Pelodiscus sinensis: one gene and its partners. The protein of the gene in region 3 purifies or fractionates together with the protein of the main gene of each other region. This does not show direct contact. Links are inferred from orthologs where the notes say so. Each region holds a gene or a part of one and is shown on either strand. Other genes may lie near its edges. The genes, in order: BOD1L1, BOD1, CXXC1 and WDR82.

Evidence for each region.
Region 1: the proteins of CXXC1 (region 3) and BOD1L1 purify together in Homo sapiens (affinity purification with mass spectrometry; 5 studies listed by BioGRID and IntAct, counting the BioPlex papers as one, with this or other methods). This does not show direct contact. The link is inferred for Pelodiscus sinensis from reciprocal best matches to the Homo sapiens genes CXXC1 and BOD1L1.
Region 2: the proteins of CXXC1 (region 3) and BOD1 purify together in Homo sapiens (affinity purification with mass spectrometry; 4 studies listed by BioGRID and IntAct, counting the BioPlex papers as one, with this or other methods). This does not show direct contact. The link is inferred for Pelodiscus sinensis from reciprocal best matches to the Homo sapiens genes CXXC1 and BOD1.
Region 4: the proteins of CXXC1 (region 3) and WDR82 purify together in Homo sapiens (affinity purification with western blotting; 7 studies listed by BioGRID and IntAct, with this or other methods). This does not show direct contact. The link is inferred for Pelodiscus sinensis from reciprocal best matches to the Homo sapiens genes CXXC1 and WDR82.

The regions. Positions count from the first base shown.
Region 1 is NC_134715.1:108,497,129-108,504,403, forward strand, and holds the start of BOD1L1 (biorientation of chromosomes in cell division protein 1-like 1), read left to right. Parts: upstream 1-4,267; 5' UTR 4,268-4,762; coding exon 4,763-4,963; intron 4,964-5,571; coding exon 5,572-5,696; intron 5,697-7,275. UniProt on the Homo sapiens protein: Component of the fork protection machinery required to protect stalled/damaged replication forks from uncontrolled DNA2-dependent resection.
Region 2 is NC_134727.1:18,732,493-18,740,359, forward strand, and holds the start of BOD1 (biorientation of chromosomes in cell division protein 1), read right to left. Parts: upstream 3,013-7,867; 5' UTR 2,895-3,012; coding exon 2,658-2,894; intron 1-2,657. UniProt on the Homo sapiens protein: Required for proper chromosome biorientation through the detection or correction of syntelic attachments in mitotic spindles.
Region 3 is NW_027465846.1:162,957-170,518, forward strand, and holds the start of CXXC1 (CXXC-type zinc finger protein 1), read left to right. Parts: upstream 1-4,558; 5' UTR 4,559-4,686; coding exon 4,687-4,689; intron 4,690-5,198; coding exon 5,199-5,317; intron 5,318-5,559; coding exon 5,560-5,660; intron 5,661-5,751; coding exon 5,752-5,894; intron 5,895-7,562. Other genes in the region: synaptonemal complex central element protein 1, read left to right, coding at 38-158, 741-830, 1,218-1,245, 2,818-2,862. UniProt on the Homo sapiens protein: Transcriptional activator that exhibits a unique DNA binding specificity for CpG unmethylated motifs with a preference for CpGG.
Region 4 is NC_134721.1:42,423,565-42,431,438, forward strand, and holds the start of WDR82 (WD repeat-containing protein 82), read right to left. Parts: upstream 3,004-7,874; 5' UTR 2,714-3,003; coding exon 2,553-2,713; intron 1-2,552. UniProt on the Homo sapiens protein: Regulatory component of the SET1/COMPASS complex implicated in the tethering of this complex to transcriptional start sites of active genes.

The DNA of each region.
Region 1 (7,275 bases), on a different chromosome or scaffold from region 3:
TGTTGCTATGCATATTTCACCATGATAATATTTTCCAGCAAGTTTTTAGTTTTCAAATGCTACATCATAAGGCATGTTTATACTAGTATTATTACAATGGTGTGTAAGGTGTGAATATAAGGATACATTCAATCACAATTCTATACAATTAAGCCACAGGAATATTGTATGTAAAACCCTGAATTCAGTTACTGTATTGTTATTTCTTTATGTCTCTTTCCATTTCAGAGCAGACCATACAGTTTCTATAGTAAACAAAGATTTAATGTATACAAAAACCACAAAATGGCATACAGCATTGTAAGCAGTATCTGAAATATTGATGAAGACACTTTAAACAAAAGCTGTTAGGTAGGACAGTGACCTTTGTTTCTTATCCAGACTTTCCTTCCACTGTCACTTTTACACACCAAGTTCTCAAAAAATAATTTGTACTTCTCTGCTGTGGCTGAGTGAATATACTTCTGATCTTATTCCAGAAACATTTTAAAGCCTTTTCGTCACTGCTAAAACAGAAGGGCTTTGTCTTCCCTGCGCATTTAGTTCAGAATAGCTCGTGCACCGTAATTACCCCATGTTATAAAAGCAAAACAAAAACTCACCTTTTGTAGCACTGTGGGAAAGGCCTAAGGACTAGATTTAAAAAAGGAGTGAAACATTCCAACGATCAGTGTCACAATCCCTAGCTTTTAGGCATCAAGTAAGGGGACGCCGTTATTTTAAAATAATTTTACTAGCGTGTACACAGCCAAACTGCTATTTCAAAATTAATTTGAAATAGTGGAGCACTTATTTAGAATTTGGTAAACCTCATTCCACGAGGAATAACACCAAATTCTAAATAGCTATTTCGAAATAAGTGCTGTGTAGAAACTTATATCGAAATATGGGGCCTCTGGCCTTCCCAAGGTGCCTTGGTGGCCACTCTAGCCTCAACCAAGAACACTCCTCCCCTGGAGCCCTTAAAAGGGTTGACTCTGGCCACAGTGCCTGTGCCAGCTCCAAGCCTGCCAGCCCAGAACCAGCAGTCACTGCTCCTGACGCAGTAGTCCCAAAACATGAGCCCGCAAGCCACTGGCAACCAGCCCTCCACCGCTCCTCAGGAGCAGTCTGCCAGTTCCCAGGAGCCTGCCAGGGCACGGAGAAGGCGGGCGCATTCCTGATCCAGGGTGGAGATCATGGACCTTATTCAGGTTTGGGGGGATGCTCCCAACGTCCATGATCTCCGCACTAGATGGAGGAACGCGGCCGTCTATGGCAAGATAGCTGCCAGCCTGGCCACCAAACGCCACATGCAAACCCAGGAGCAGGTTTGCATGAAAATCAAGTTGGTCCGGTGAGACCCCCAACCCTGAGTCCTGAGCTACCCCTCCCCCTTCTTCCCCTTGCTTCCCCCTTCCAGATTCCTCCTCCCCTCTCGTGCCTCCTTTCCCCAGTCTCACCAGAGTTTCATTCCCCCACCTCCCACCCCCAGTTTTTTAAATAAAGAGAGTTTGTGTTCATGAAAATACATGTATTTTATTTGACATCAGGAAGGGGGGTTAGGGAGGGTTAAGTGGAAGGATGTGAGGGAGGAATGAGGCACAAGCCACCAGTGGGGCAGACCAGGGAGGCTCTTAGTGGCTCCTCAGGGTGGAAGCTCTCTCACATGGCCTCCTGAATGCTGACAGCCCCCCGATGGACCTCCTGGATGACAGCCTGCAGAAAGTGCAGCCAGGCTCACAGCAATGCATCCAAGAGAAGCACCAGAGTGCCCAGGGGGAGCTCTGGCTCCATGGCGCCGAGTGCTGTAGTGTCCCAAGTGAGGGCAACCAGAGCACGCAGAGACAAAATGCTTTGCTGTCCCTCATTGAGGCTGGCAAGCAAGCAGGGAAAGCTGAGAACCAGCTCCCCAGACCGGGGGTGGGGGGGAGGGCTTTAAGCACAGGTCTCGGATAGCCTCAGGAAGCAGCCACACAAAGTAACTCCTGACCTGATGTCCTGCTGGACCTCGTTCCGGTCGGCTTTAAATGCGATTCAGTGTGCACTCAGTGTGGATGTGCTATTTCAAAATAGCAAGACACTATTGTGAAATGCATTTTGTGAGTAGACGCGTTATTTTGAAATAACTTATTTCGAATTAACTATTTCGAAATAAGATATTTCCAAATAATGCTGTAGTGAAGACATACCCTAAGTCACAGGAATACCACTGTGATTCTCAAATCCCGAGTTAGGTGCCTAAGAATGGATGGCAGGAAGGGGTGGCTATGCCTCCCTAAACAGCCAGGTGTGGCCACACCTGCACTAAGCCCCACAGCATCCACTTTGGGTGTGCTGCTGGGCTCCAGTGGCTAGGGGCATGCTGCCCACCCTTTTGGGGTGGGGGACTGTATTTTCTCACACTTCATTTGCATAATCTCTTCCGATGCTTTTTGCGCAAGACATTTTTGTGGAAAAACTAGATGTGTATATGGATCCATTTTGCACAAAACCTTTTGCACAAGATCCTTATGCCTCAGAAAAGGATATCTTGCGCAAAAGGGGGTTTTGTACAAAACGGATCCGTCTACACAGCTAATTTTTGCGCAAAAACCTCTTGCGCAAAAAGCATTGGAAGAGATTATGCAAATGAAGTGCAAGAAAATGCTAATGAGCGCTTCATTTGCATTGCTTCTTCTGCAAAAAAAAAAAAACCCTAGTGTAGACATACCCTTAAGGCTGGAATAGTTAAGCTAATGGAAGAGCTTTCTCCTTCCATCCGCCCTACAGCAATTACATTAAAGAGTTTACAGGGGGGCAGTTCATTGCTACAGTTCCCAATGCTGTAAACTGTCTGTTGTACCCGTAGTCTGAGACACAAATCTTTCTTTTGGCAAAGGAGTAGTATGAGCCACACAATCAGCACCAGAGCTGTGAAGCAATGAATAATAATGATTCATTTAATATCTCAGTGATTAGTATCATCTCCGTCCTCAATACTAAGGAAACATGAGTTTTTACCCTGGGGTAATTACCATGCATTAGCTATTCTACTGTAAAAACATGGTAGAGACAAGACACTTTAGTTTCACCAGAAGACAAACTATGTGAGGTCAGCACCATGCCCTCCCTCCCGTGCAATCAATGCAAAGGAGAAACAGGATACCGTAATTCGTTTAAAAAAAGCAGTAAACTTGTCAAAATGAAGAACAACACTAACATGTATTATACTGAAATATTAAACATATACAAAATACTATGAAATTAAAATATGCATAAACAAGTTAGTAGAAATATCAAAATTTATGTATGCAACAAATTAAGTAATAAACAGTAAAGTATGCACTTCGATGTTTGCAGGATGGCAAATTACTTACAGAAATAAATGTTTAATGTTTTCATTTACAAAGGGAAGGGATAAAAGTCACATCTTACTTACTGGAAGTTCAAAAAAGCACTCAATATTAAAGAAATGTACTATTGTTTTACATATATGGATGCTTTGAAAGAGCTAACAGAAAAAGTATGAAGCTAGTACATCTGAAAGGCTCGACAAAAAAGAAAATTTAAGACTCTAAAATGTATTTATTTATTTTAACGTTATGACTTTGGGATGCATATCTCATGATTTTTGAATACCTCTATTATATCTATATTTAGAAACAATACAATAGAAATTTATTTTTTAGGATAGTCCCACTGCGCCAGATTTTTAAAAGTATTTAGCCGACTAGTAGGATTTTCAGAAGCATCATGACACTTTTAGCCTTTAAAAATCTGGCATGCAGTGATTTTTTGGGAACCAAATTTGACACACAAATAGTAATGGGATAAAAACAGGGTGCTGGATAAGAAAGCAAAACAATTGACCAACACGATCTTCATTGATTTATTAAAAGAAACTGCAATGTGACATCAACCCAGGAAATCAGCAGGTGTTGATAAGAATAAAGGTCCCAAAGAATAAAATGGTGTTTGACAAAAACTACTGGCACGATACGGACAGTGCTACCCCAGAAACACTGAGACGGGATGGCTGAAGCCTACTAGCAGCTATGAATATTTTTAAACTGATTAACTGCACCTAAAGTATGATCTGAAGGGCACAATGACATTCGTGTGCCTAGAGTGGACGACGAGCCGCCTGGCGCAGCACAGGGCCTGGGAGGCGGGAGCCAAGACGGACTGTCCTGCAGGGGAGAAGGGGGCAGCCCCTCAGCCTCATCCCCAGCGCCCAACCCCCGCCTGACTGTGCCCCTCAGCCCTGCCTCGGCTGCCTCCAGGCGCCCGGCCAGCCTGCACCATCCCGTCGGGCACTGCCCAGATCCTGCCCCCCTCGCTCCCCAGGGCTCCTGCGCGAGCAGCAATTGCCAAGCCAGGGCAGCGGCTTCAGCAGCTCTTACTGAGCACGCGCACGTCACAGGCGCATGCTCAGAACCGGCGCACAGCCCCGCCCCTTTCTCGTTCTCAAGCTCAGCCGGCTGGTAGAGGCGCTGCCGCCGCGCGCAGCAATGGGGCTGCGCCCGGGGAGCTGGGAAGGAGGGGCCGGAGCCGGAGCCGGAGGGCTCGGCTCAGATGTTCCCGCCCCGGGAGCGGGGTGAACAGCCAGTAGCAACGCCCATTCCTCTGTGCGAATCAGCCCTGCCCCTCTCCGCTCGTTGTCTCTCGCTTCCTCCCTCCGTTCCCTTTCACTTCCGGGGTCAGCGTTGCCGCGGTTGCTGCTCAGTAACCAGCCCCCTGCCCGGGGCCCGGCTAGAGGAGCCGGTTGCCGCCCGCGCTCTCTGAAGACCCCGCTGCCCCCATGGCCAGTAACCCGCAGCCCCAGCCCCCTCCGCCGCCGCCCCCTCCGCCGCCCCCACAGCAGCAGCCGCCGCTGCCTGGGGCTGCCGGCGGGGGCGGCGCGGTGGAGCCCGAGCTGGTGTCCGTGATCGTTAATCACCTGAAGAGCCAGGGGCTGTTCGACCAGTTCCGCCGCGACTGCCTGGCCGACGTGGACACCAAGGTATGGGCGGGGGCAGGTCTGAGGAGGGGGCGAGCGCCACGGGGGCCCGGAGCTCGGGGGAGGGGAGGAGGGCTGTCTGCCGAGACGCGCAGCCGCTCCTGCCTGGTGAGCGTTGCCCGGGGTGGAGGCAGGGCTGCCCTGGACACGGAGCCGGCGGGTCCTCGCAGCCTTGCAGAGACTCCTGGCTGGCTCTAGCGTCCTGGGAATGTCGTTCCCCGGGGATACGTCGCAGCAGCAGCTCAGCGCGTTGCCCCTCGCACTAGACCGCTGGCAGGGTCCTTAGCAGCAGGTTCCTGCCTAAGGAATGAGCTCTCAGGGATCAGTGAGTGACTTCAGCAAGATCGGGCCGTCTGTGTAAAAGGGACTGGTCGCTCCCGTTTATGTAGGTTATACTGTATAAACTTTTTCCCAAGAGGGTAATAGAATTCTTTTCGGTAAATAGGTTTTGGTATATGGGCATTGCCTATCAGAGGATGGCAATCCTGATATTTTTATTGATTCGGCAGTTAAGATCTAGGGAGCTTTTTAAAGTTTTTCAGCCCTCTCATTAGGAAAATGAGTTTTAAGCAGCTTTTTTAAATATCTGATCTCACCTTTTGCCCCTTTAGCCTGCTTATCAAAACCTGAGACAACGCGTTGACAACTTTGTTTCCAATCATCTGGCAACTCATACTTGGAGTCCTCATCTCAACAAGAATCAGTTGAGAAATAATATTAGGCAGCAGGTTCTCAAGTAAGTCATAAGTTGAGTTAATATTCTGCCGTTTAAATAGATACTCGTGCTCTAGTGATAGGTGAATGGAAACCTAGTGTTAGTCTGAATCTGCGTAAATAACAAGAAGTCCTGTGGCACCTTATAGACTAACTGATATATTGGAGCATAAGTTTCTGAGGGCAAAGACCCACCTTGTCAGATGCACCTGATGAAGTGGGTCTTTGCCCACGAAAGCTTAGCTAGACAAAGAAATTCCACAACTTCTATGAAGAGAGAATGTTACCTTTGTTACCATTGTATCCGGATATAAATGCTCGTCACTCTTGTGATATGTTGTAATACAGTGTTGAATGTTTCCTGTTTTGCATCACAACTTTGAAGGAGTCTCGCTTTGTTGGAATATTGGGTCTGCAGTCTTTGCATACAAGGATTCTGGCACTACCACTAACTCATAAGTGGTTTATTCAACAAATTACTAGTTGTTGTTCGGTTTTCTGGGTTAAATCTTGTGTTATTAATAGGATTGTAGATATGAAAATTCATGTATGTTGCAAGCACAAGTTAGTTATTCAGAGTCATATTCACAAAACAGAAATCCTTGAACAGACTTGATTTCTATGGACAGCTAAAAAGTTTTGTAAAGACTGCTGGTAAATGGTCATCTTGAAATATCTTTGAATAAGCATTTATGGTGAATCTAATTTGTGCCATAAACACATTTACATTAATATCCTCTGCCTAGTGTTGCACATTACCCTAATATGAGAAGCCGCCTAATGTTACTCCAAACTAATTTGTATAGATAAAGGTTGCCATCCTGTCAATTTTAGGGACAGATCTGAAACTTGGGAGCAAATGCCACCTGTTGCATGGTTAGTGATAGGTATCAACACTTGAGTATAGAGGAAATACAATTATTTTGTAGTTAAGACTTGATAACACCATAAATGGAGAAATGGTCTCAAGTGAAATGTAGCCATAGGCAACTCATTCTGTTTTCTAGAGCGTGATGGACAAAAGGTAGGCTATTAGGTAGCTAACTGGTTCAATGCTGAAGCTATTACATAAAGTAAATTAAGAATCTGAACTCCACTGTTTAGTAGTTGCAACATGATGCCATTCTGAGAAATTCTAACATTGGGGTTATGAAGACAATAGATATAGTGCTGTCACATTTCTTGCTACCTGTTCTGCATAGAATGCTTTCCTCAAACTGATTCATAAAGATAACTACAAAGGGGATCTGCAAGTTTATGCTGAAAGAGAATAAAAACAAATCCATTTGCTGCAGGCTTTTTGTCAGGCATGAAATGTTTATTCAGATGTGTGTTAATGGGACATTTTGAGCACTATCTAGATCCACGGTATCCAACAATCTAGCTACTAGCCACATGTGGCTATTTGGCCGTTTGAGTGTGGCTAGTTCACTATAGCAGTAGCCATTACAGTGGCAACTGCTTCAGAACTGGTTGGACACCATGGACCTAGACACAAGTCAGGTAGGAGTGTTCCTGAAGCAAATGCAAACAATTACTTTCTAGGAACTTAGAAAGTTTATGGAAAGTTGTCTGTGTGGAGGGAAAACACTTTTTAGATA
Region 2 (7,867 bases), on a different chromosome or scaffold from region 3:
GGGAAAAGTACACAGTTTGCTGTATTCCTCGTTCTGGGTGGGGAGCACAGGAGGCAGACAAACCTGGACCTGTCTCAGCTGGGGCACCTGCATCCTTCTCCCTGCTGTGCCCATTGGAACTGCAGAAGCCATGGAGAGGCACTTCCCATCTGGCCCTAGTTACTGTGGTGAGAGAGGGCTGGGGTAAGTCCCTTCTCCTTGGGATAGCCTGCATACTAAACCCTTCATTCCCAGTTCTACCCCAGAGCAATCATTTAAATGAAGAAAAACAAAAATTGAGTTCAGGCCCCAACCTATGTTCAAGTGTATTATAACTGCAATAGCTAGACCTGTGTTTTGCGTGCACAGGTAATTTGCATTCCATTCAGGCGCTCAGACGCGAACAGTTGCAAGAGTTATATTTAAGAAGGCCTCTAATATGACTTCCAACCACAAAGTTCCTACAAGACACTTTAATTAGATAAAATTGACGATAGTATAAACAAACAGATGTGCTTGCTGTAACCCTAATGCAAACTGGAAAGCCAAGAAAGTGGAGAGGGGTGGTTTTTATTTAATGCTCTGTGTAAATCTACCTTTCCTGTTCTTCAGACTTTAGGAAACGGAAATGTTATTGAGTATTAGGGACGTAAATGGTTAACCGGTAGGGGCTGGAACAGTTCCCTATCGGCCCAGGCAATGGGATGCTCCAGCCCCACAAGGGCCACTACAGGCAAGGACTCCTTGGCCAGCCCCTGCCTGTAGTGGGCCTGACCTGGGCGGCACATTGCAGGTTACATGCTGGCTCCCACTGCCAGGGCCCCTGTCAGCCCTGCTGCTAGCGAGGCAGTTTCGCAGCAGCAGGAAGGCCTCCTCCTCCCTAAGAGCGGGGTGGGAAGCCTTTGCCAGCCCTGCTCCCAGGGAGGCCTCCACTAAGATTTTTAGCAGTTACATGGTTATGTTTTTAAACCCCGTTTTACATTCCTACTGCGTATGGGAATACCAGTTACTAATGTGGGGCAAGGGCAAAAAGGTGGCAAATGGTCTTATAGCAAGACCAGAATCACTACAAGGAACATCATCAAAAATTAAAATGATACTCTTGTCAATATGCTACAGAGCCTATCCCTTTTAAGTGGCCAGTTCAAATTCCATTTAGGTTTGTTGAGAGAAATCTGTTCCGATCATATAGGTGGCAGTTTCATGGTTTAATACAGAATAATGTGGTGGTTTCAGACACACCAGTAATTGGTTATCAATACTGATGTTCTCAGTGGCATTAGAGGGGAAATCAAAATTTCTATTAAGATTTTCCCACCCCAATGTTGGTTCCTTTGGCTCCAGAACACTTGCACCCTTGTTGTCAGACTATTCCCCATTAACAGTATTAATTCTAGTACTTTTTTGTAAGCATAAAGGGAGCTATAGCTTTAAAGAGGACACTTTGGGTGGATGACTCTAGGAGTACATACATGTCAGAAAGGCTACATGTTAACATTTCAGCAAAAATAGTTGCAATTGCAAATAAACAAGTGACATCATTGCAAAAGTAGATATATGGTTACAGAGGTTTAAAGGTATTCATTCTAAGTAGCACTTTATGTTAAAAGACTCTGAAATGCTTTACAAGCTATGTACACATATGAATCACTTCACCCACTGATAAACTGCAAGCACCTATAAGGTGGAACAAGACAGTTATTTAGAAATGCTGCAATGGTTTATTACAGGAAGGGATGTCCACATTCTGCTGAAGTCTCAGGTAAAGCTTAGGAAGACAACAAGCTACCATACACCCCTTCAGGATGATAACAGTGGGGATTGCACCCAATTCCTGCAAAAGTACTTTCACTGACTGAAGTGCTGACTAGTGGAAGTTTTGGGTTTCATCCAAGTGCAGGAAAGCCCAGCAGCTTTTGCATCCCCTAATCTTGCACTAGTGAGAAATGACTTGGGTAATAGTGACTTTCACTGAATTATCAGTCGTGCTTTCTACCATTTCTCAGGAAGACCATGGACACAGAAATTAGATAAGCATATGCAGGGGTCAGAAAAAACACGAGTGGGAAACCTTGTACCGTATAGTAGAAAGTTAAAAAGCCCTGAAACTGAAAAGTTTATCTTCTGGGCTTCATGAAACACTTGTATATTTTAGTTAAGGTCACTCTTGGCTGCAGGTTTGAGATAGATCCAGGCTCCCCAAAAGAAAGTTGGAACCCAAGATGAAGTAGGTGACTGAAGCAGAAGCTTCAGGGTCGAGTCTGAAAAACTAGGGGATGGTTGTCAGACAACAGGCCAGAACTTGGGGGATGATGTTTGAAACAGGAAGGTGATGAGACACTCAGACCCTCGTACCCATGTCAGCCAAAGAGCCCAAGCCAAAGCTGTGGAGCTCAAGTAGCGAGACCGCACTAGAGATTTTGGGCGGGGAAAAGCCCCTATCAGCCTATTGCCCCTGTTAGCAGGGCAGTCCCAGAAGAGCCGCTGGAGCCTGAGTGAGGGGCAGCCTCTGTTCCTTGCAGGGTCAGAGAGCGCCCGGCGTCTCCGTCCCGAGCAGTGCGAACGTGCCCAGGCGAAAAGCGCGGCCCTGGTACCCCGGTCGGCCGAGAGAACCAGGCCCCGTTCCCAGGTGCCCCTGCGGGGGAGGCGCTGGTGGGGCCAGGCCCCTGCAGCGCTACCTTGGTGTCCACGTCGGCCAGGCAGTCCCGGCGGAAGCCGTCGAAGAGGCCGCGGCTCTTGAGCTGCTCCACGATGAGCGCGATGAGCTGAGCGTCCCCGGGGGGCAGCGAGGCCGGGTCGGTGGCGCCGGGCCCCGCCCCGACAGCCGCGCCCCCAGGCCCCGCTGCTCCCCCAGCTCCAGCGCCGCCGCCTCCCCCGCCCGGGGCAGCTCCGCCGGCGCCTCCGCTCTCCGACATGCCCCACGCCTGCTGCCCGGCGCAGCCAGGCCTCAGCAGCCGCCGCTCCCAGCTCACCCGGTGCCACCGGCACCGCTGCCGCCGCCGACGGCGCGCCACATTCTGCGTATGTCCGTCCCGCTGCATTATGGGAAAGGGAGTCCTTCCTCTAGGGCGCCTCTTATAGGACTTGAGCCTTTGGGCTGAGCAAAGAAACTACGATTTCCAGCGTGCACCGCGTCGCCAGCCCGGAAGGCCGTGGGGCGCTGAGCAATGCATTCTGGGAATTGTCGTTTTTATGTCTTCGAAACATGTGCGCGGGGAGTTCGTTGCCCCCTGCCTGGGCCCGCGGGGGAAAGACAGCTCCGAGCTCTGCTCCCGGAGACCCGGCTCAGGTATTTCCAGGGGCGGCCCGCTCCCCTAGCTCCCTCCCCAGGGCCCCGTGCGGCGCGCTCCCTGCGCTGGAGCAGGGCAGTGAACCTGCTAGGCTAGTGCCGCACCCGCTAGGCAGCTTTTCCTTCCTCACCTGTTGCGTGCCCGACGCAGCGTGCGGGTTTGGGGGACTCCCCTGTGCCAGGCTGACTGCTCGCAACGCCGGAAACTTTTCTAGGGGGGAGTGTAATGCGCGCATTTGGCCACCGGGGGAGGCTGTGGCTTTGGCAATCATCCTCTGTTGCACTGCAACAAAAATTGACAAGAGGCTGCAGGTTTGCGGTGCTGATCCTGCTTTACAATAGTTGGGATAAGGAATATTTTTTGTCTTCATGATCTATTGTTTCACTGATTTTAAGTGGGACATGCAGACCCTTTGATCTCTGGGTGCCTATCTAGTTTCCCTGTCAGTGTCCAACAACTCTATGAAGAAACATGTTTAACAGTCTCAGAGGGGTAGTGGTGTTAGTCTAACTTGAAAAAACTTAAAAAATGAGTGGTCCTGTAGCACCTTAGATACTAACAAAAATATATATAGTATCATGAGTTTTCATGGGCACAACCCAGTTCAGATGAGTGGAACAAGGTGCCTTGTTTTTTAAGTTTTTTTTTTTTTTGAAGAAACATGCTGATTTGTAATGTATTTTAGTACCCTCGTAAGTTACTCAAAGAGCTAATCCTCTGCCCCCCTAACAGCAATAACAGTTTATTTTCTATATGTCTCTCTAAAAGTGGAAGACTACCCCACCACTAGGCCCCATACCCGGTAATTGATACCTGGTACATCATATCCGCATACATACTGCATTTAAAATGCAGCCCTAGGGTTGCCAGATGGTTTAACCAAAACTACCAAAAAAAGGGGCGGGGGTATTTTCTGAATTTTTTTACCAGACAGGAGGCAAAAATACCGGACTGTCCAGGTCAATACCGGACACCTGGCAACCCTATGCAGCCCTAATAACCAAAACTATTTTTGTAGATTTAGTTTTAGGGGCAAATTCTGCACAGAGGACCGCTAATATAAATCCAGAATAAACTTATGACCATTAATGGTGTTACTCTGGATTTACATTAGTGAAAAGAATAGCAGAATTTGGTTCACTTTTACTTCTAGTGGCAATGAAGTTCAGTGCCAGTGGGCCATTCATTCCTGTGGCTTCTCCTCTTAGTGTGAACAAGGGCCAGCGTGGACATTTATTTACTGGGTACTGGACCAAAATAACCACCAGCATTTAACATACCTTCCTACCTACCAATGTTTTTCTGAGTCATCCTATCTTATGATGTGCTATCTTGTGGGGTGATTTGTTTATTCTGCTGCTGGCCAGCTTGTATGCAGGCTATGTAAGGAGTTGCCTACTGCCTGCCAGCACCTCTGGCTCACCAGGAGTCTGGTTCCAATTTGGCCCTGCATTAATATATTGAACATTCCCAGGCACAGTGAGTCTGACTACTAATTTGAGCAACTTTAGTTCTGCTTTACTACCAGTGCACCACGTTTGGTGATTAGCATATCTCAGTTGACATGGACATTGAACTATTTTATCTCCTGTACCTGGTCAAGACTTCTGCTACCAAAACGACTTAAAAGAAGATACTTGTGAATCAGTCCCCTTGCCCACATACACCCCAAAAGAGAACATATCTATCCAGTGTGTCTCTTTCATTTACGTACTTTCTTAAAGCCAGAATAAAATGGAATCAATTTGGGGGGAGGTAAATGGGATGGCTAGATGAATATGATTCTTACAATTATGTCCTCATCCCAAGTACACTATGGGGAGTAGCCCCATATCCATATCTTTCTGTGGGTTGTAGTAGTTGTTGAAAGGTGGGAGAGCAAAATTCTGCATGCGATGCATTGTCCTTTTCATCTGATTAAAATTCAGCAGCTCTGAAAAGCAGCATAAGCTGTCCCACGCCATCTGGCAGCTATGAGGAGGAAAAAAGCCAGCATTTATAGGCACCGAGATGTACATTGGAAAGAATATGCACTGCAGCATGTTGCATATTATACAATGCTCTGCATTACAAATAGGGGAACTGTAACATGCGAGTCCTTCCTATGCAGAAAAGCAATCCATTGAATCTGGTATCTTGTGTCTGACATTGGCTAATGCTGGGTGTTTCAGAATGAGGTATAAAATTCCCCACAAGACATTTAATCATACAAAATTAATCCACACAGGGTTTCATTTCTTCCTGACCACCACTAGCAATCAGTTTCTCACTGCCTCCAGTGATTAACTTTGAAACAGGAAGCTTGAGATCCCTTGTAATTTTGTTCTAATTCCTACAACTGCTGGCCCTATCCTTAGTCATATAAACATATCAACCTCCTTTTTAAAAGTTACCGAAGTGTTTGCCCTATCATCCTGCTGCAGTGAGTTCCACAGGCATAGGTTAAGGCTATGCCATCCTTAAAGTACCATGTTTACTCCATATGGCAATAATAAAGCATACTTTGTTTTTTAGTATCGAAAGAGTGCCTATTTCTAGCAATAAATATTGCCATACCTGAACTACATGTTCATTTGAACCATGCATATTTGGGCATGTGACTTTTAGGGATGTTAGAAATTGTTTAATTTAGTTATTGTGTAACCGCAACAATTCTTAGCGGTTATACGATTATTCATTGGCCCCCATGGGTGGGGGCAGCTGCCAGTGTGTTCCCATTCCCACTCCTGGGGAGCCCCCTGCCATCCCGCGCTGCTGCCTCTGATACAGCGGTAGCAGTGCGGGGTGGCAGGTGGGAACTGGTCTGCAAGGAGAGCCAGTTTAAAAATTGGCTCCCTGTGCAGACCGGCTCCTGCCTGCCAACCTGGGCTGCTGCTTCTGTATCAGAAGCAGCAGCATGGGGTGGCAGCAGCCCCTGTCCGCGGGGGTTCCAAGCTCCTCACGGACAGAGGCTGCTTCAGCATCTGATACAGAGGCAGTAGCGCTGGGCAGCAGACCGCTCCCATGCGTGCTCTTCGTTTGAAACTTGGACTGGCGGGCTAGGGCTGAGCCAGCATGCCAGTCTGAATTTTAAATTCAGAACATGCTGGGGGAGGGGTGTTGTTGCAGTTATCCAGGACCGTTAACCAATAAACAATAGCTTATTGGTCAAATGATTATCTGGCTAGCTGCTAACATCCCTAGTGACTTCAGTTCTGTGTTCTGTGATGTGTGTTTTTCTTTGTCTTGTTTCCTACAATCATCTTTTTACTTTGCTGCTGGAATTTATTTCAGACTATTGGATCTCAGTGCTGTATGTTGTTCAGCCAGGCTGATGCATGTAGAAATTCACCCTGCCCACCCCCAAAAGCCGCTGTGCTGTTAGAGGCACTGTTTAAATTCAGGAAAAACCCTGGGCATTTTGACTCATGATCATTTAAGGAAACCATGATGCTCTTTGCAAGGAGTGCAGGGAGTGTGATAAACAAATTTCAGTTTGGGGAACTTGCCTCCTGCCTGCCTACAGTCTCTCTGTTTTCATTTGCGTAAAATTCCCTGGCGTATGCTGCTGAGTTACTGAATGGTCATTGAACAGATCTCTGTGTGTGGGAGAAAATCTGAGTCTCTTACGCATTGGGAGTAGGCTCCAAGCACAGCTCTGTGACCTGGTGGGGCTCTACTCCAACAGAACTCTAGTGGTATCCAGGGATGTTAAGTACCATTCAATTAGCTAATCGAGTAGTCGATGGAATTTCCATTGCTACCCCCACTGCAGGTCTGCAGTTTATATGTAGTAGGAGTCAAGTATGCAGGCAGCCAGGCTTCTCCTACATTTAAACTGCAGTGCTGCAGTGGGGTTAGCTCCTGGGGGTGGCATGAGCCAGGACTGAGCCACCTGGCTCTTGCTCTGAAAAGGCAGAGCCACAGCGGGGGAACCCGGCGTGAGCCAGGACTGCTTCAGTCCTGGTTCACACTGGGTCCCTGATTGCTGCGCCTCTGCTTTTGAAATGTAGTAAGAGCTGCCTGGCAGAGGTGCCGGGTCCCCATCTGCAGCTCTGTCTTTTAAATGTAGTAAGAGCCAGGCAGCTCTTACTGCATTTAAAAAGCAGAGGCACAGCGGACAGAGACCTGGGGCCAGCCAGAACTGAAGCTGTCCCGGCTTGCTCCTGCTGAGCCTCTTCCTCCCTTTCCCCTCACGGAGATGGTGCTGGGGGAACCAAAGCTGGTTCCCCCTCCCCCCCCCCCCCAGCACTGACTCCTGCTCCCCCCACCTTGCTGCCTCTGATTTCCCAGTTCCACGTAGGGACGTGAACCAGGTTGGATATTAGGAAAAACTATTTCACTAGGAGGGTGGTGAAGCACTGGAATGGGTTACCTAGGGAAGTAGTGGAGTCTCCATCCCTAGAGGTGTTTAAGTCCCGGCTTGACAAAGCCTTGGCTGGGTTGATTTAATTGGGATTGTTCTTGCCTTGGGCAGGGGGCTGGACTTGATGGCCTTCTAAGGTCTCTTCCAGCTCTATGATTCTCTGATTAAGTGGTGGGCTAGAGCAGGCCCACGCAGGGCAAGGGGGCTGCTCCAGCCTGGCTGTGACCCCCTTGTCTACCTCTGTTTAATCAGT
Region 3 (7,562 bases):
TGTGGCCCCGTGCCGCCGTTTCTGTCCTTTGCCCTAGACCGGCTGATCCAAGCCAGCCTGGCCCAGGTTGAGAAGCAGCTGGACTCCCTGCCCCAGGCCAGGGCAGCTCTCAGCCAGGAGAGGATGTTCCTGAAGAGCCAGGAGGCTAGCACGGCCCTGTGAGTGTGGAGCGCCCCCAGCCCTGTGCCAGCCACCAATGGAGCATATTGCATCAGTACAGCCCGAGCAGGATGCCTGGTCCCACCCCTGGATCTGGGAGGAGAGTGAGGGCTAGCGGTTAGAGCATGGTGATTGGCAGACAGGATTCCTTGGATTCTCTCTGTGGCTCTGGAAGGGGAGCTGGGTCTAGTGGTTACCGCTGGGAGCCAGGACTCCTGGGTTCTCCCCTTGGCTATAGGAAGGGAAAGGTGTCTAGTGGTTACAGCATGGGGGGACTGGCAGACAGGACTCCTTGGATTCTCTCTGTGGCTTTGGAAGGGGAGCTGGGTCTAGTGGTTAGCACTGGGAGCCAGGACTCCTTGGTACTCTCTGGAGCAGTGAGGACAGCCCAGGTGCTGGCGTGAAAGCAAACATCTGGGCTAGTGGGGAGAGTGCCTAGGGGCAGCGTGGGCAGAGGCAGAGAGGCAGTTGGCAAGGTGAATGCAGGGAGAGCTGTTTCCAGCACAGCCTGCCTTGCCGGGGGATGGCTGCTGTCCATCACCGAGGCGGCTGGGCTGCTCCATGCTTTCTATTGTCTCCAGGCAGCTGTTCCAGCAGGAAAACAAGAGCGCGACTGAGCATCTGGAGGCAGCGTCACTCCGGCACTCAGAACTGCAGCAGAAGTACAAGAGGTGAGCGTGGGGGCAGGCTGGGAGCCCAGACCCCTGGGTTCTAGCCTGGCTCGGAGGGTGGGACCGAGGGGGTTAGTGCAGTGGGGCTGGGCGCCCCAGGCTCTGACTGGTGTGTCCAGGAAACTCCCCTGGCCAGTCCCAACCTGGCGGGGTCCTTTCCCCCTCCTTCCACTCTCCCTGTGTTCCCAGAGGGTTCTGGGATTCCTCGCTGTCCAGTGGCTCCGGGCCCCCAGAAGTGGCGGTGAGTCTCTGCTGGGAGGAAGGACTCTGCCACACCCCTTGTGCAGTGTAACCCTTCCTCTCTGTGACGGGCGCCGCTGCCCTGGCGATGGGCCCAGCCAGGTGCCCCCCTTGTTTGATAGAACCGTTATTTCTGGTCCCTTCCAGGCTGGCGGCCGAGCTGGAGGCCCAGCAGGTGAGGATGGCGGCGACAAAGGGAAACTGTTGACAGGACTCTGTGCTGCCAAAGGGGCAGGGCTTGGCTGGCGAGTCCATTGACCGGCACATCCGCACGTGGCCAGAATTCCCCCAAGAGACAGACAGACAGAGAGGGGTGTGCAGGAAGGACACGGGTGCAGGGGCATGTTGGGATGGGGAGATGGATGGAGAAGTGGGGAGAGGAGAGACGACAAGGTGGGGAGTTTAGAGGAAGAGCTGGCAGGCAGGAAGTGAGTGAAGACTGGCAGGCAGGAGGTGTGCGAGGGCTGGCTGGCTGGTGGGAAGTGTGCGAGGTGTTGCTGGGAGATGTGAGAGGTGTGGCTGGCTGGTTGGTGGGAGGAGTGTAAGCCATGGCTGGCTGGTGCAAGGTGTGCGAGGCGTGGCTGGCTGGCTGGTGGGAGGTATGTGAGGGCTGGCTGGCTGGTGTGAGGTGTGCAAGGAGTGGCTGGCAGGTGCAAGGTGTGTGAGGCATGGCTGGCTGGTGGGAAGTGTGCGAGGCGTGGCTGGCTGATGGGAGGTGTGCGTTGTGTAGCTGGCTGGAGGGAGGTGTGCGAGGGCTGGCTGGCTGGCGCAAGGTGTGCGAGGCGTGGCTGGTGCAAGGTGTGCGAGGGCTGGCTGGCTGGCGGGAGGTGTGCGAGGCGTGGCTGGCTGGCGGGAGGTGTGCGAGGGCTGGCTGGCTGGTGCGAAGTGTGCGAGGCGTGGCTGGCTGGTGGGAGGTATGCGAGGCGTGGCTGGCTGGTGCGAGGTGTGCGAGGGCTGGCTGGCTGGTGGGAGGTGTGCGAGGTATGGCTGGCTGGTGCGAGGTGTGCGAGGCGTGGCTGGCTGGTGGGAGGTATGCGAGGCGTGGCTGGCTGGTGGGAGGTGTGCGAGGGCTGGCTGGCTGGTGCGAGGTGTGCGAGGCGTGGCTGGCTGGTGGGAGGTATGCGAGGCGTGGCTGGCTGGTGCGAGGTGTGCGAGGGCTGGCTGGCTGGTGGGAGGTGTGCGAGGTATGGCTGGCTGGTGCAAGGTGTGCGAGGGCTGGCTGGCTGGAGGTGTGCGAGGTGTGACTGGCTGGTGCGAGGTGTGCGAGGCATGGCTGGCTGGCGGGAGGTGTGCGAAGCGTGGCTGGTGTGAGGTGTGCGAGGGCTGGCTGGCAGGAGGTGTGCGAGGCGTGGCTGGCTGGTGCATGGTGTGCGAGGGCTGGCTGGCTGGTGCGAGGTGTGTGAGATTACAGTGTCTGCTTTCCAAGTTCCTGCTGGTGCCCACCTCCGCTGGGATGCTCAGCAGTCGCTCACACTCCTTTGGCCGTGCTGGCTCCCTCAAGATAACTGGTGGGGCTGAGTGGTCCCTTTGGTGGGACCCACGGCCCTTCCCTAAATGCCCAGCAGTGGGGTGGGCTGGCTCCTGCAGCCATTCCTGGGCCAGAGTGCTCAGGGCTGGCTCCGTCCCTCGCTGTTGGGGTGGGATCCAATGCCTGGTGCCAGTGTGTGTTCCCATCCAGCTGTGACCCACCGTCCTGACTGGGGGCACGGTGACCCCCCCAATCTCCCTCACCTGCTCTGCCCCACAGCAGGGAACTGGGGGCAGTTCAGCCAGCATGGAAACAGCTGCCTAAAAGCCACGGCCGCTCTGCAAGCACCCCAGCTCCTAGAGCGGAAATCGGCCTGGAGTTACGTCGCCTCTGGACACAACCGTCTCCTTGTGGTGAATAAAGACTTCCTGCTTACGCCCCTGCTGTGCCCGGTTATTGGACTCGGGGCAGGGGCGAAGGGTCCGGTTCTGCGGAGGATGGGGGTCGCGTGGGGAGGGGCCACGGGGAACTAGTCTGCTGAGAGAGCTTGTTCGCCTGCGAGCGAGCGAGTCCGTCTGTCCATCCATCTGCTTGTTTGAGAGCTCCTAAATGAACGAGCTAGGACCCGCAAATTCGGTAGGCGGCTTCCTCTTCCCAGAACTTAACGCAAGGCCAGGACAAGGGGACGTGCCCGGGATGCGACAGTTTTCCAGAACATAGAAAGGGAGGGGGCTGCTAGCAGGGACAGTTATAAGTGTAATGACCACAGGGGGGCAGCAAGGGGCCAGCGATGGGGACTGGGGCAGCAGCGGCTCCGGGGAATCCCACCCGGCCAGCATGGTCCCCACCATGGCCAGTCCCGGGGGGGCCACCGCCCAAGCAGTGAGGTCTCCGCCGGTTCCTACGCCCCATACGCCCCAGCCCTGAAGGACCTACCTGAGCAATGCTGGGTAAATCTTCTAGTATTTAATAACGGGCCAGCAGGAGACCGTCTAACCGGATCCCGTGGCTGGAAGTTGAAGCTGGACAGAGTCAGCCTGGGAATAAGGCATCCGTTTTGAATGGGGAGAGGAATTAGCCAATTCCCCAAGGAGCATGGTGGATTCTCGGCCTGGCTCTCAGCTCTGGGAGGGAGCAGTGGATAGCAGATGGGATATGGCTGTGTTTGGCCGTGCACATCTGAGTGGTGTATCCTGTGGAACTCCTTGCTGCAGGGTATCAGGGAGGCAAAGAACAAAGGTGAATTGAAATAAGTGAATTTCACATGGGAGACCACGAACAGAAGCACCCCCCCAGCTGGGACATGCACTCCTAGTCTCCAGACTTCGGACACTCGGCGCCCACGGCCTGCTCCCTGGAAGGTGGGGGGCTATGGTACGCGGTTGGGGAGACACTGTCCTGCATGCTCACGGCTGCGTGGAGCGCGGGTCCCAAAGGGGCCTATGGCAGCCAGGGGAAGTTGCAGGAGGGCAGGCACAACCGCAGAGGCTGCCAGGAGGGGGGCAGCGTGTGCAGCTGCGTTGCAGCGGGGCTGGGCCACGGAGCACCAGGGGTGCCCTGGAGCCCCCATGCCCTCCAAGCTGGCTGGGCCTTGTGTCGCTGGGAGCCAGGGCTCCTGGGCCCTCCCCTCCCCAGACAGTGGCCCAGAGTTGGGATCCAGCCCTGGATCTCCAGCCCCTAACACTGGCTGACTAGCCATCCATCTAGCGAATCTGAGTTTGATTCAACCAGCCTTGCTGTGCCAGAGTCAAAGATGGCCGCCCCCTCAATGCTGCCAGTGACGAGGCGCCGGAGCGGCCATGTTGGAGCCTGGCGCCGAGGTCGCGCTGATGCCAGTGGGCGTGGCCGGTCCCCGCTCCACGGGGTGACCATATTGGATACGTTCCCCCGCCTCTGGGACGTGGGGGCGGCCATCTTGGAAGCGGGCCGAAGCTGAGCGAGGGGCACGCCAGAGGCCGCAGGGCGGCCATCTTGGAAGCGGGCAGATGGGCGGGCTGCCGGGGGAGGGAGGTTTGCGAGGGCGCCTTTGGCCAGGGTTGGAGAGTGACCCCGGAAGCGGAAGTAGCCGCCCGGGGGGGGGGGGCCTGTCGGGACTTCCTGGCCAGGAGCGCCTGTTGTCTTGCTTCCATCCACAGCAAGGGAGAGACCATGGTAAGGGGCGGGGGGGCTGGGAGCCAGGACTCCCGGGGGCTGGGGGGGGAGGGGCCAGGACTCCCCGGGTCTGGGGGGAGGGGCCAGGACTCCTGGGGTCGGGGGGGAGGGGCCTGGACTCCTTGGGGGAGGGGCTGCTGGTTGGGGGGGGATCCAGAACTCATGGGGTCTGGGGGGGAGGGGCCAGGACTCCCGGGATCTCGGGGGGGAGGGGCCAGGACTCCTGGGATCTCGGGGGGGAGGGGCCAGGACTCCTGGGGTCTCGGGGGGGAGGGGCTGCTGGTTGGGGGGGGGGGAGCCTGGACTCCCGGGGTCTGGGGGGGAGGGGCCAGGACTCCTGGGATCTCGGGGGGGGAGGGGCCAGGACTCCTGGGGTTTCGGGGGGGAGGGGCTGCTGGTTGGGGGGGGGAGCCAGGACTCCTGGGGTCCCTGGGGGGAGGGTCTGATGGTTGGAGGGGTTGGGAGTCCTGAGTTCTCTGATGCCCTTTCTGCCCCCCCCCCCCCCCCAGGACAGCGAGTTCTCCGACCCGGAGCTGGCCGCGGTGGGCGAGGAGTCTAAGTCGGAGAATGGCGAGAACGCCCCCGTCTACTGCATCTGCCGCAAGCCGGACATCAACTGCTTCATGATGTACGGAGACCCCGGGGAGGCGAGGGGTCGCTCCGGCGCCTGGGTCCCCCTGCCTGTGTCCTAGGTTGCTGCTGCTGGGAAGGGGGCCGGGTAACTCCCCGCCCCTGCAAGGGGAGCCCCAGGAGGCACTTGGCCCACGGGCTGGGCAGGGGGTTGTTTCCTGGGGCAGGCAGGGCGGGGGGAGTGGGGCAGGGGCTTGCACAGGGAGCGCTTTGACTCTCCCGTCTCTCCCGCCCCTGCAGCGGCTGTGACAACTGCAACGAGTGGTTCCATGGCAGCTGTATCAACATCACGGAGAGGATGGCGAAGGCCATTCGGGAATGGTACTGTCTGCAGTGCCGAGGTGAGGACGGGGGCGGGGCGGCGCGGGGAGGGGAGGGGGGCGGCACCCCTGGCCTTTCTGGCTGTGATGTGCGTTCCTCTCCCCTCCGCAGATAAGAACCCGGCCCTGGAGATCCGATACCGGCACAAGAAATCCAAGGACAAGGAGCGGGAGGGCGAGCGGGATCGGGCGGAGAAAGACGAGCTGAGGAAGAAAGCCCAGGAGCTGGCCCTGGATCAGAGCCGTGGGTCCAAAGTAAGTGCCCGGGAAAGGGTGCTAGGTTGGGGGTGGAGGGAGCCGGTGGGATTCTGTCCCATGAGCCCATGGGGCTGCGTTGCCAGGGAACTGAGCGGCAGGGTTCTAAGAGCAGCTCCAACCACCTTCCGGCTCCAGTTGCTGCCCGTCCCCAGCGTTAAGGGGCAGAGTTAAGGGTAAACAACCTGCAACGTGGTCGGATTTCCTTGGGCAGAGAGCTGCGCCGGTGTTGCCCTGATGCGTGGCCACTCCCCAGAAGTGGCTGCGTCTCGGAGTTGGGCAATCCGTCCCGTTTGGAGTGGCAGTGCTCCCTTCTCGTCCGTTGAGCCCCCAGGCTCAATGGAGGGATGATAGGAGTTACTATAGAGAACTGGGTATCTGGCTGGTGAGTCTTGCCCACATGCTCAGGGTTTAGCTGATCGCCATATTTGGGGTCGGGAAGGAATTTTCCTCCAGGGTAGATTGGCAGAGGCCCTGGAAGTTTTTCTCCTTCCTCTGTAGCATGCGATACAGATCACAGCTGGAGGATTCTCTGCATCTTGGGGCCTTCAAAGTATTTGAAGGCTTCAATATCTGAGATATAGGTGAGAGGATGATTCTAGGAGGGGTAGGTGAGATTCTGTGGCCTGCACTGTGCAGGGGGTCAGACTAGACGATCATAATGGTCCCTTTTTTAATGGGGAGCAGGTTTAAAACTAATAAAAGAAAGTTCTTCTTCACACAGCGTGTAGTCAACCTGTGGAACTCCTCGCCAGAGGAGGCTGTGAAGGCTAGAACTATAACAGCGTTTAAAGAGAAGCTAGATAATTTCATGGAGGTTAGGTCCATAAAAGGCTATTAGCCAGGGGATAAAATGGTGTCCCTGTCCTCTGTTTGTCAGAGGCTGGAGAGGGATGGCAGGAGACAAATCGCTTGATCATTGTCTTCGGTCCACCCTCTCTGGGGCACCTGGTGCTGGCTGCTGTCGGCAGACAGGATACTGGGCTAGAAGGACCTTTGGTCTGACCCAGTACGGCCGTTCTTATGTTCTTATGTTATGTTCTTCTGACCTTAAAGTCTAGGAGTCTATGAAACGGGCCTGCCAGGTTCCTTGGCCCATTCTCAGACCACGGTTCTGGAGCATGGGCTGGTGGGGTGAGACCCGTGGGCACTGGGTGAATTTCCGACCCCACCTCATTGGCTGTGGCACTGCTACAAATACAGCTGTGGACACTCATCTGGCCTCTTAAGTCAGGAAGTATTCTCCCTGCTCGCCAGCTGGGTGTGAGAATGAAAGAGTCCCGGGAGAGAGACCCCTTGGGTTTACGCTGTAAATATCCTCAAATGCCTGCTCCCGGCACATCCTGTGGTCTTTCCCCCTCCCCCCGGCCGGTCTTGGCATCCATGATTGGGTTGGGTGGCAGGTGGGGTGTCAGGTATCAATTTAGGAGCTTGAAAATCCCTGAGTACGTCCATGGGGGAGCTGCCATGATCCCTGCTGAAAATTAGGGGCTGAGGGAGTAGGGGGAAGGAGACGGGAAGTCAATGGCTGAGCACGTGCTCCAGCTGACCGAGGCTAGAGCCATCTCCAAGCCATACGCTCGGGGCGGAGACAGCCCTGCGGAAGAGCTGGGCTGTCTGATTTCCAGGGAAATGTCTCCTGACTGGAATAGACCCTGGGTGGGCTGC
Region 4 (7,874 bases), on a different chromosome or scaffold from region 3:
CCATAAATGCTTATAACCAAATATATCTGTTGTTTTTACAGATCGAGACTAACACAGCTACCCCTCCATAGCTTTGTTTTCTGTGATACTCCATGCTTAATTCTGGAACCTATAACACCACCACACACAATATTTGGCACACTGCTGCCACACCAGAAAGTGGAACTTTGAGAAAAACTGAGTAACTGCACCAGGATATTTTTTCCTGAAATAATTTAGGACTTCCAGTTTGACTCACTTTGATATGAGTCTTACAGTATGTGAATTATTAGAGCCCTGAAAATCCACAGGTATCTGCATCCATGGATGAGGATATCCATGACTCATTTTTGCAGACAGGGATGTGGGACTCTATGCATCATGTATTCCATCTATAGTTGTCCTGTTCCCAAAACATGATAATTTAGAACTGATTAATGTATATATACACACAATTTTCTTATACTGAATCAGGTAGTGCATTTTTCAAGTGTTCTGTACATTTCTATTATTTATTCCTAGGATGGATGTCCTACTGCATGCTCCAAGGAAGGTTCCCAGAAGAATTTTATTCATTCCCGTTAATCAAAATTATGCTTCAAAAATTCTAATTTGTCGGAATTCATATTTGTTCAGTTTCTGAAAAAATCTGCATTCCTCTCACTATAGAGTAGACTCATGCACATTTTAATTCTAGCTTGTAGGTAAAGATGCTAACTACTCAAAAGGGGTTTACACAAAGCACAGTAAACGCCTTTCTTGCTACGTAATATTGGCAATGTATTTTAGTGGAATGCCAAATAGTTTTTAAAGTTATCGGGCATGTATAGTGTGCCATATTCAACTATGAAGTTAAAATAAATATTAAAAAAGTTATATCTAGAACGGGTTGCCATTTTAAAAGGTACATCAAAACAGTTTATTTTATCCAATTCATTTAAAGCCAAACAGGGCACTTAACATGCCCAAATCAAATGTTTGCTCTCTGACTTAGATATTCAATGGAAAGACTCATCAATAAATGAGTCTGCGACCATGGGTAGTCAACAGTAGGCATATTCCTCAAAAGAAAAATCAGGGCAACTCCACTAACTTCAAAGTTGGACATATATAAACTCATCTGTAAGTATGTACCTATAAACTGTACTAACTAAATCTGAGAAAGTTTGAAAAATCCACTCAGAGAATGGAAAGATTTCTGTGATCAGTGAAAAGTCCTAAGCCATCAATTAATTGAGAAGTTTAACTCTCTTTAAACAAAAGACAGAACTACGTAGCACTTTAAAGACTAACAAGATGGTTTATTAGGTGATGAGCTTTCGTGGGCCAGACCCACTTCCTCAGATCAATATGTGGAAGAAAATCAGCACAACCATATATACCAAAGTGATACAATAAAAAAAGTGAACGCATGTGAAATTGACAAATCAAATTTTAGAACAGAATGGGGGTGAGGGTGGAAGGTAAGTTTCTGTGAGGTAGTGACATAGGGGTGATAATAGGGGAAGTTTCTGTGAGGTAATGACATTAGGAGTGATAATTAGGGAAGCTATCTTTGTAATGGGTGAGATAATTAGAGTATTTGTTTAAACCCATACATAAACTGTCAAATTTAAGCATGAATGAGGAAGTGGGTCTGGCCCAGGAAATCTCATCACCTAATAAACCATCTTGTTAGTCTTTAAAGTGCTACATAGTTCTGTCTTTTGTTTCAGCTACACCAGACTAACACGGCTGCATCGCTATCTCTTTAAACAAAATTCTAGCCTCATAGTTGTAAAAATAGTAACCATCCAAACATGAAGCAAAAGACTTCTTAACTACAATGCTACATTTAGAAGCTGTGAACCTCCACACTTTCGTCTCCACTGCTGGCAGTAACACTGAAAGTTTTAGTGTAGATGGACTCCAGTGCCCTTTCACAATGTAAGGCAAAATCTAATAAAAATAACCTTGTTCTCCCTGCTGTTGACGCTCCATTTGCAAATCCGAATTATTCTAACTTTTCAGTTTTATATGCTCGTTAGATAAAAAGCAGAGAGGGTTCCCTAGGCTGCAGACACACAATTACAACGTTTTCAACTACTGCTCAGAGCTCTGCCCCACAGCAGCACAGCCAAACACATCCGAATCTCTTGCCACCTTCACTTTTGCGACCAACGGCCTTGGTGCCAGAAGAAAAGCGAACCCAACAGGATGCCAGTTTCACTCAGCAGCTTCTACCTGGGGAACAACTTGAGCATCAGCATCGCAGGGGACTCGTCTCTGCACACTCAGGTGGTTGCCTTCCCCGCCTCCTAGTCTTTCGCATCAACCATTAGCTGGCAGCTTTAGCGCTCAGCCAGAGCTATTCTTCGGCCTTCCTGAGCCCGCCTTTTCTCCCTCACCTGGCCAGGCGGATATTCCCCGGGGACCGATCCCTCCTGCTGCCCTCGCCCAGCCCCCGGGAAGCAGCTCTCCGGGCAGCTCAAATATCACCTACCTGCACGGGAGGAGGCTCCCGCAGATGCCCCCCCTCCCCCACAGGCCGCCCCCTCCCCGACCTGCCCCCGGCGGCCCGCCCCGCCACTCACTTGCCCTCCTGGCAGTCGTAGAGCACGATGGAGTCGTCGTCGCTGCTGGAGATGACGGTCTCGCCGTTGGGGCTGAAGTCGAAGCAGTTGATCTTGTCCGAGTTCTCGCGGAAGACCTTGGCCACGCGGAAGCTCCGCAGCACGTTGTCCGTTAGCTTCATGCCGCGGGGGAGGGGCGGCGGGCGCGAGCGGGGCCTGAGGGAGCCGGGCCGGGGCCCAGCGGGAGCCGGGCACGGAGGACGCCGGGGAGCGAGGGAGCCGGGCGGCGGCCTGGGGCCCGGGAAGCGGCGGCGAAGGGGAGGCGGGCGGGGGCCTGGAGCACGCGAGACTGGGGCAGGCGGCTTCGGCGCGGGCGGGCGGGCAGCGCCCTCAGGCGGGGCCGGCTCAGGCTGCGGAGAGGCGGCTCCTGCTCATTGTGTCCGCCATCTTCCTGCTACAGGGACACCGCGGGGGGAGGAGGGGGCGGCAGCGGTGCATTGTGGGGAGGAGGGGGGCTTGTGAGACAGCGGAGGAGAGGAGAGCGGAGGAGCAGCGCATTGTGGGATTGGCGAGGCGGGAGGGCTGGAGGGAGCAGTGCATTGTGGGATGCCGACAGGCGGGGGGCCTCGGGATGGGGACTTGGACCAGCAGTGCATTGTGGGACTCCGGACGGGGACGTCATCCACCTCCGGCTGGCCCCGGCGGCCATTTTGTGTGTGGCGGGAGCCCTACTTCTCCCCCCTCCCCGGGGCGGGACAGACGTGTGATGGCTGCAGTAGCCCCTCCGTGGGGAAGCTACGCTAGAGGAGAGGCCGCCTGCGAGGAATGGCCCAGGGTCGTACAGCAGTAGCTAGGCCCGCGTCACTGAGCTCCCTTCCCGCCCTATTCCCTGGGCCACTAACCTGCCCTCTCCTCAGTACTAATGCAGCCCTAAAGCTGGCCACTAACCTGCAAGCCTGGACACCGGGCTCTTGGCTCTCAACACGGGAACCTTGCAGCCTCCTCCAACAAGGTTCCCGTCTCTCTCACCAGCAGGGCTGTTGGTCCAACAGAGGATAGTACTTCAGCCACCTTGTCTCTGGAGCTCAGGAGGCAGGCTGGTTCGCTGCCTTGGAAGAGTCACAGGCCTCCATATTCAGAGGTTGCTACTGGTATCAGGGAGCCTACGTGAAATCAGTGGGAGCTGCAGGCATTTAAGCACTTCTAGAAAGTATTGCCCTGGGGTCTGAAGTCAGGGTCCAAACATACAGGCACCCTTCTTTAGGAAAAAAGTGGCCATTTCTGTAGCCTAGTTTCCTCCTCTGTAAAAAGGGCTTAATGATAGCAATTCACCTTCATGAAGTACTCTGAGATCTACAACTGAAAAGGACAGGGAGTTGCACTTCTTATTTAAATCACTGCTCAGTTTAATTTGTGATCTACCCTAATTACATTGGGGCTCCATTCCTACTAATTTGTTACATTTCAGACATATCAGTCTGCTATTATTTTCCTACTAACTGTTTAAAGTAAGGGAGGGGACTTCAAACTGATGTAATTCTTGTTTACCTAAGGAAAACATGCAAAGGAAAGAAGAGGCATCAAACTACTGGCATGATGTCATTTCCAGCCACTATGTTGAAAGCTGGCAAGTCTGCAGCGGGAAGTTTCTTCAGAGGGTAGGATGTTCCCTATAATTGATTTATATAGAGAAAATATTCTGGACTAGTATCGCTCTGTGATCTTTACACTTATTCACTCTATTTTCCTTCCTTCTCCTTTACAGAAAAGACAGTGTTTGTCTCTTTCCTAGGGTCTGATCTAAAACCCACTGTGGACTTTGAACAAAGCCTCTAGTACTTCCAAGACTGCTATCACAATCATGATGCAAATAAAATAAGTCCTGTGGCACTTTAAAGACTAATAGATTTATTTGGACATAAGCTTTTGTATGTAAAAATGGGGTGGAAATCACAGACATTGATTGATTGATTGATTGATTTAGTATATCAATCTCCTAAGCTCTGTGACTTCCACCCCATGCCTCTGACAAAGTGGTTTTCACCCACAAAAGCTTATACCCAAATAAATCTGTTATTCTTTAAGGTGCCACAGGACTCCTTGTTTTTGCTGATGCAAACTAACACCACTACTCCTCTGAGACATGATGCAAATAGTGATGCCAGGGAAAAACAAATCACTTTCTAATGTAATGTTGTGTAAGTCATGTGACATACTCAAGTTCTGGTGACACATTTCTGACCTAACTTTTGGGACATGCAAAATGGGGTTGCAATCAGGATGTGGGACTGTGAGGGTGCAATAGCTGCAAAATTAGAATTGTTAGCACCAGCAACCCCAAACACTGGAAGAGCCACTCACACCATCCAAAAAACTACAAAGAAATCTGCAGACAATAAGTATTATGAGTTTTTTAGAAATTTCATTCCCATCACTTTCTTGACTGGGGTGATTTGTATAAAAACAGAATCTTTGCCTTTTTTGTAGTTTGTTGTCCTCTGGCATTTGCATTACATTGCAAATACATTTCAAACCCACAACCATTTTTCACACTCTCAGCAGGGCTGTTTAAATACTGTTACATTAGAACTGCTTTCTCTTCTGGGCTTCATCCATCAGTTCTAAAATAAGTGGGACCTCATTCTAATCTCTTCCCAGTTTTGCTTTAATGCAAGTCCATTGATTTCAGGAGTTACTCATGGTTTTTACCAGCATGAGGCCAGAATCAGGCCTTTAGAAAATTATAAACTCGAAACAGCATAACATTCTAATCCCAAACACTGGAAGCAGGAAATAGAAGAGGAGTCTTTTTGATCACATCAGATACTCTTATTGTGTTGACTTCAGCTAGGAATTTCAGAGTGCAGTGTATGAGGAGTTTCAAAGGCAGAGAGTTGACTAGAAGTCTAAAGGAGGATTATTATTTATTGTTTGTATTACAGTAGCACGTAGGGCCCTTGGTCATGGATTAGGTCCCCACTGTGTTTGGCACTGTACAAATAACAAAGAGTTCCCATCCCAAAGATCTTACAGTGTAAAGTATAAAGAAGAAATGGTGTCAGCTGAGACAGTATCCCATCTACAGTCCTTTTTTTACAGTATTATTAGTTAATTATTGTAGAAGCAATGGTAAAGTCACAGAGATTTAGGACTACAGGGGGATGAGCAGCAGGAGTAAAAATGGAACTTTTAAGAAGCAAAAATCTAAATTTAATGTAAATATCCCTATAAACAGTACACTGAAGGTGCATGTCAGCAGGTGAATAGTTTCAAGAGAACTACAGAGATTTTCAGAGATTCCCATGAGGCAGTAGGAATTTATCAATAAATCCTCTATGTGTTTGCAATAGGACTGTGTATTTAAAGCCCTTAACACAACCAGTTATCTTGGGATTTGTATGTATTTAATGTTCTTTTGATATTTCAGGGAGATATTCAGGTGGCCTAACAATAGGTCAGATGTCACGGGTTCTCAACTTTTTTCTTTCTGAGTGCCTCCCCATACATACATGCTATAAAAACTCAGAGAGTAGGAGGGCCTCAGGGTTTCAATTGTGTGGGAGGAAGGGGACTGAAGGCTCCTGCCCATAGGGTACTCAGGAGCTCCAGGTTTTAGATGTACGGTAGCACGGCTCAGGGCTCTGAACTTTCTGCCTTGGGCCCCACACAGTCTAATGCCTCTCATGGTTTCCAGCCACCTGATTGAAAATCTCTGCCATCATAGGTGACAGCATTTTTTACCAGTCATAGGCAATAAACGACCTGTGTGCTTGATGTGATTTGCCATAGTTAACTCCTGGCGGACCACTGGAGCTTTATTTACCTGTGCCTCTGCAGGAACGGCCACTTGCAGCTCCGTTGACTGCGGATCGCCATTCCCGGCCAATGGGAGCTGCAGGCAGCAGCATCCTGGTCTATGCTGCTTTCCACAGCTCAGTGGCCAGGAATGGAAATCCATGGCCAATGGCAAGTACAAACAGTTATACCGTGGATGCACAGGTAAATTAAGTACTGATGGCTTGTGTTGCCCACCTCTGGTTTTCACCCTATATTTCTACCACTCATAAACCTGATTTTGTGTTGTTTCATTTGCAGCAGGACTAACAGGACAAGGGGCAGGAGAACGATCATTCACAAGAAGAAATGTAAACACAAGCAAAACCCCATTTACCTGATCTAATTGAGATGAGAGCCATATGAGGTAAAAACAAAAAAATCAGATAATCCAGAGAATGGAAAAGTGCAAGGCTGCATCACCATCTAGTGGCCACAAGTGAGATTGCCCATTTGTGGACCTGCATGCTACTAAAATCTCCTCAAACATCATTGTAACAGATATTTTCCTTTAGCATCCTCTGTTTGGCACGCGGTTTTGTTTCAACTTTGAGAACATTATTGCCTCCCTGTGGCCAAAGACATTCTGTCTGGGAAGTATTGCAAAAGAAATTTTATATTCTCTTTTGCAATAGTAAAGACCCACTTATTCAAATGCAGAGGGGTACCCCGTCAGCACTGGTACTCCTACTTGCAAGAAATAAGGGAAGCTAAGCAAAAACAGGAGCGTTTTCCTGTTGACCTTCCATTGTGAGGACAGTATCAAAGCTCGGCTTAAGGTAAGTCGACTCCAACTATGTTATTTATATAGTTGGAATTGTGTACCTTAAGCCGACCTTCCCCCAGAGTGAGGGCCTGGTCTATAGGTGTGGATATTTCAAATCCCAGAGTGACACAGTTAGACCAGTGTAAGTTTGCCATATAGAAGTGGCCTAAGTCAGCCACTCTCTGAAAAGCCTGTTAAAAACCCTGAAATTATTAAATAATGATGCAAACATCCTCTTCAGCTTTAAGACCCAGATCCTCAAAGACTTTTAGGTTCCTAACTTCCATTGAAATCAAGTTTTTAATGGGGCAAAGGAAAGGGATTCCCCTGGCATCTTGTAATTTGTATGACTAAGGCCTTAATTATCTCCCAAAAGGATGATTTATCAATACCATCAGAAGTGATTTACTTAAATGCCTACAGTACTTAGCCAAGTTACAGAGCTGTATAACTCTGTGAGTCATCAGCTGGCATTTTGTCACTCTCCTTTTATTCTTTTTTCTCCTTTCTGATTATTGGAACTTGGTCTGTCACTTTACACACAATTGACATTTATCTGGCAGAATAATCGGATCTTCTAGCAAAATGACAGCTTTCGATTATGGACGATGCCTTTACAAACTTGGCTAATTGATAGTACCAAAGGTTTCATTACTTCCGCTTGTGCAATATTGATAACATTCAGTTGGTGCCTCTTTTGCACTTATATAGGCTCAGATCCACAGAGGTATTTGGAGCCTAAC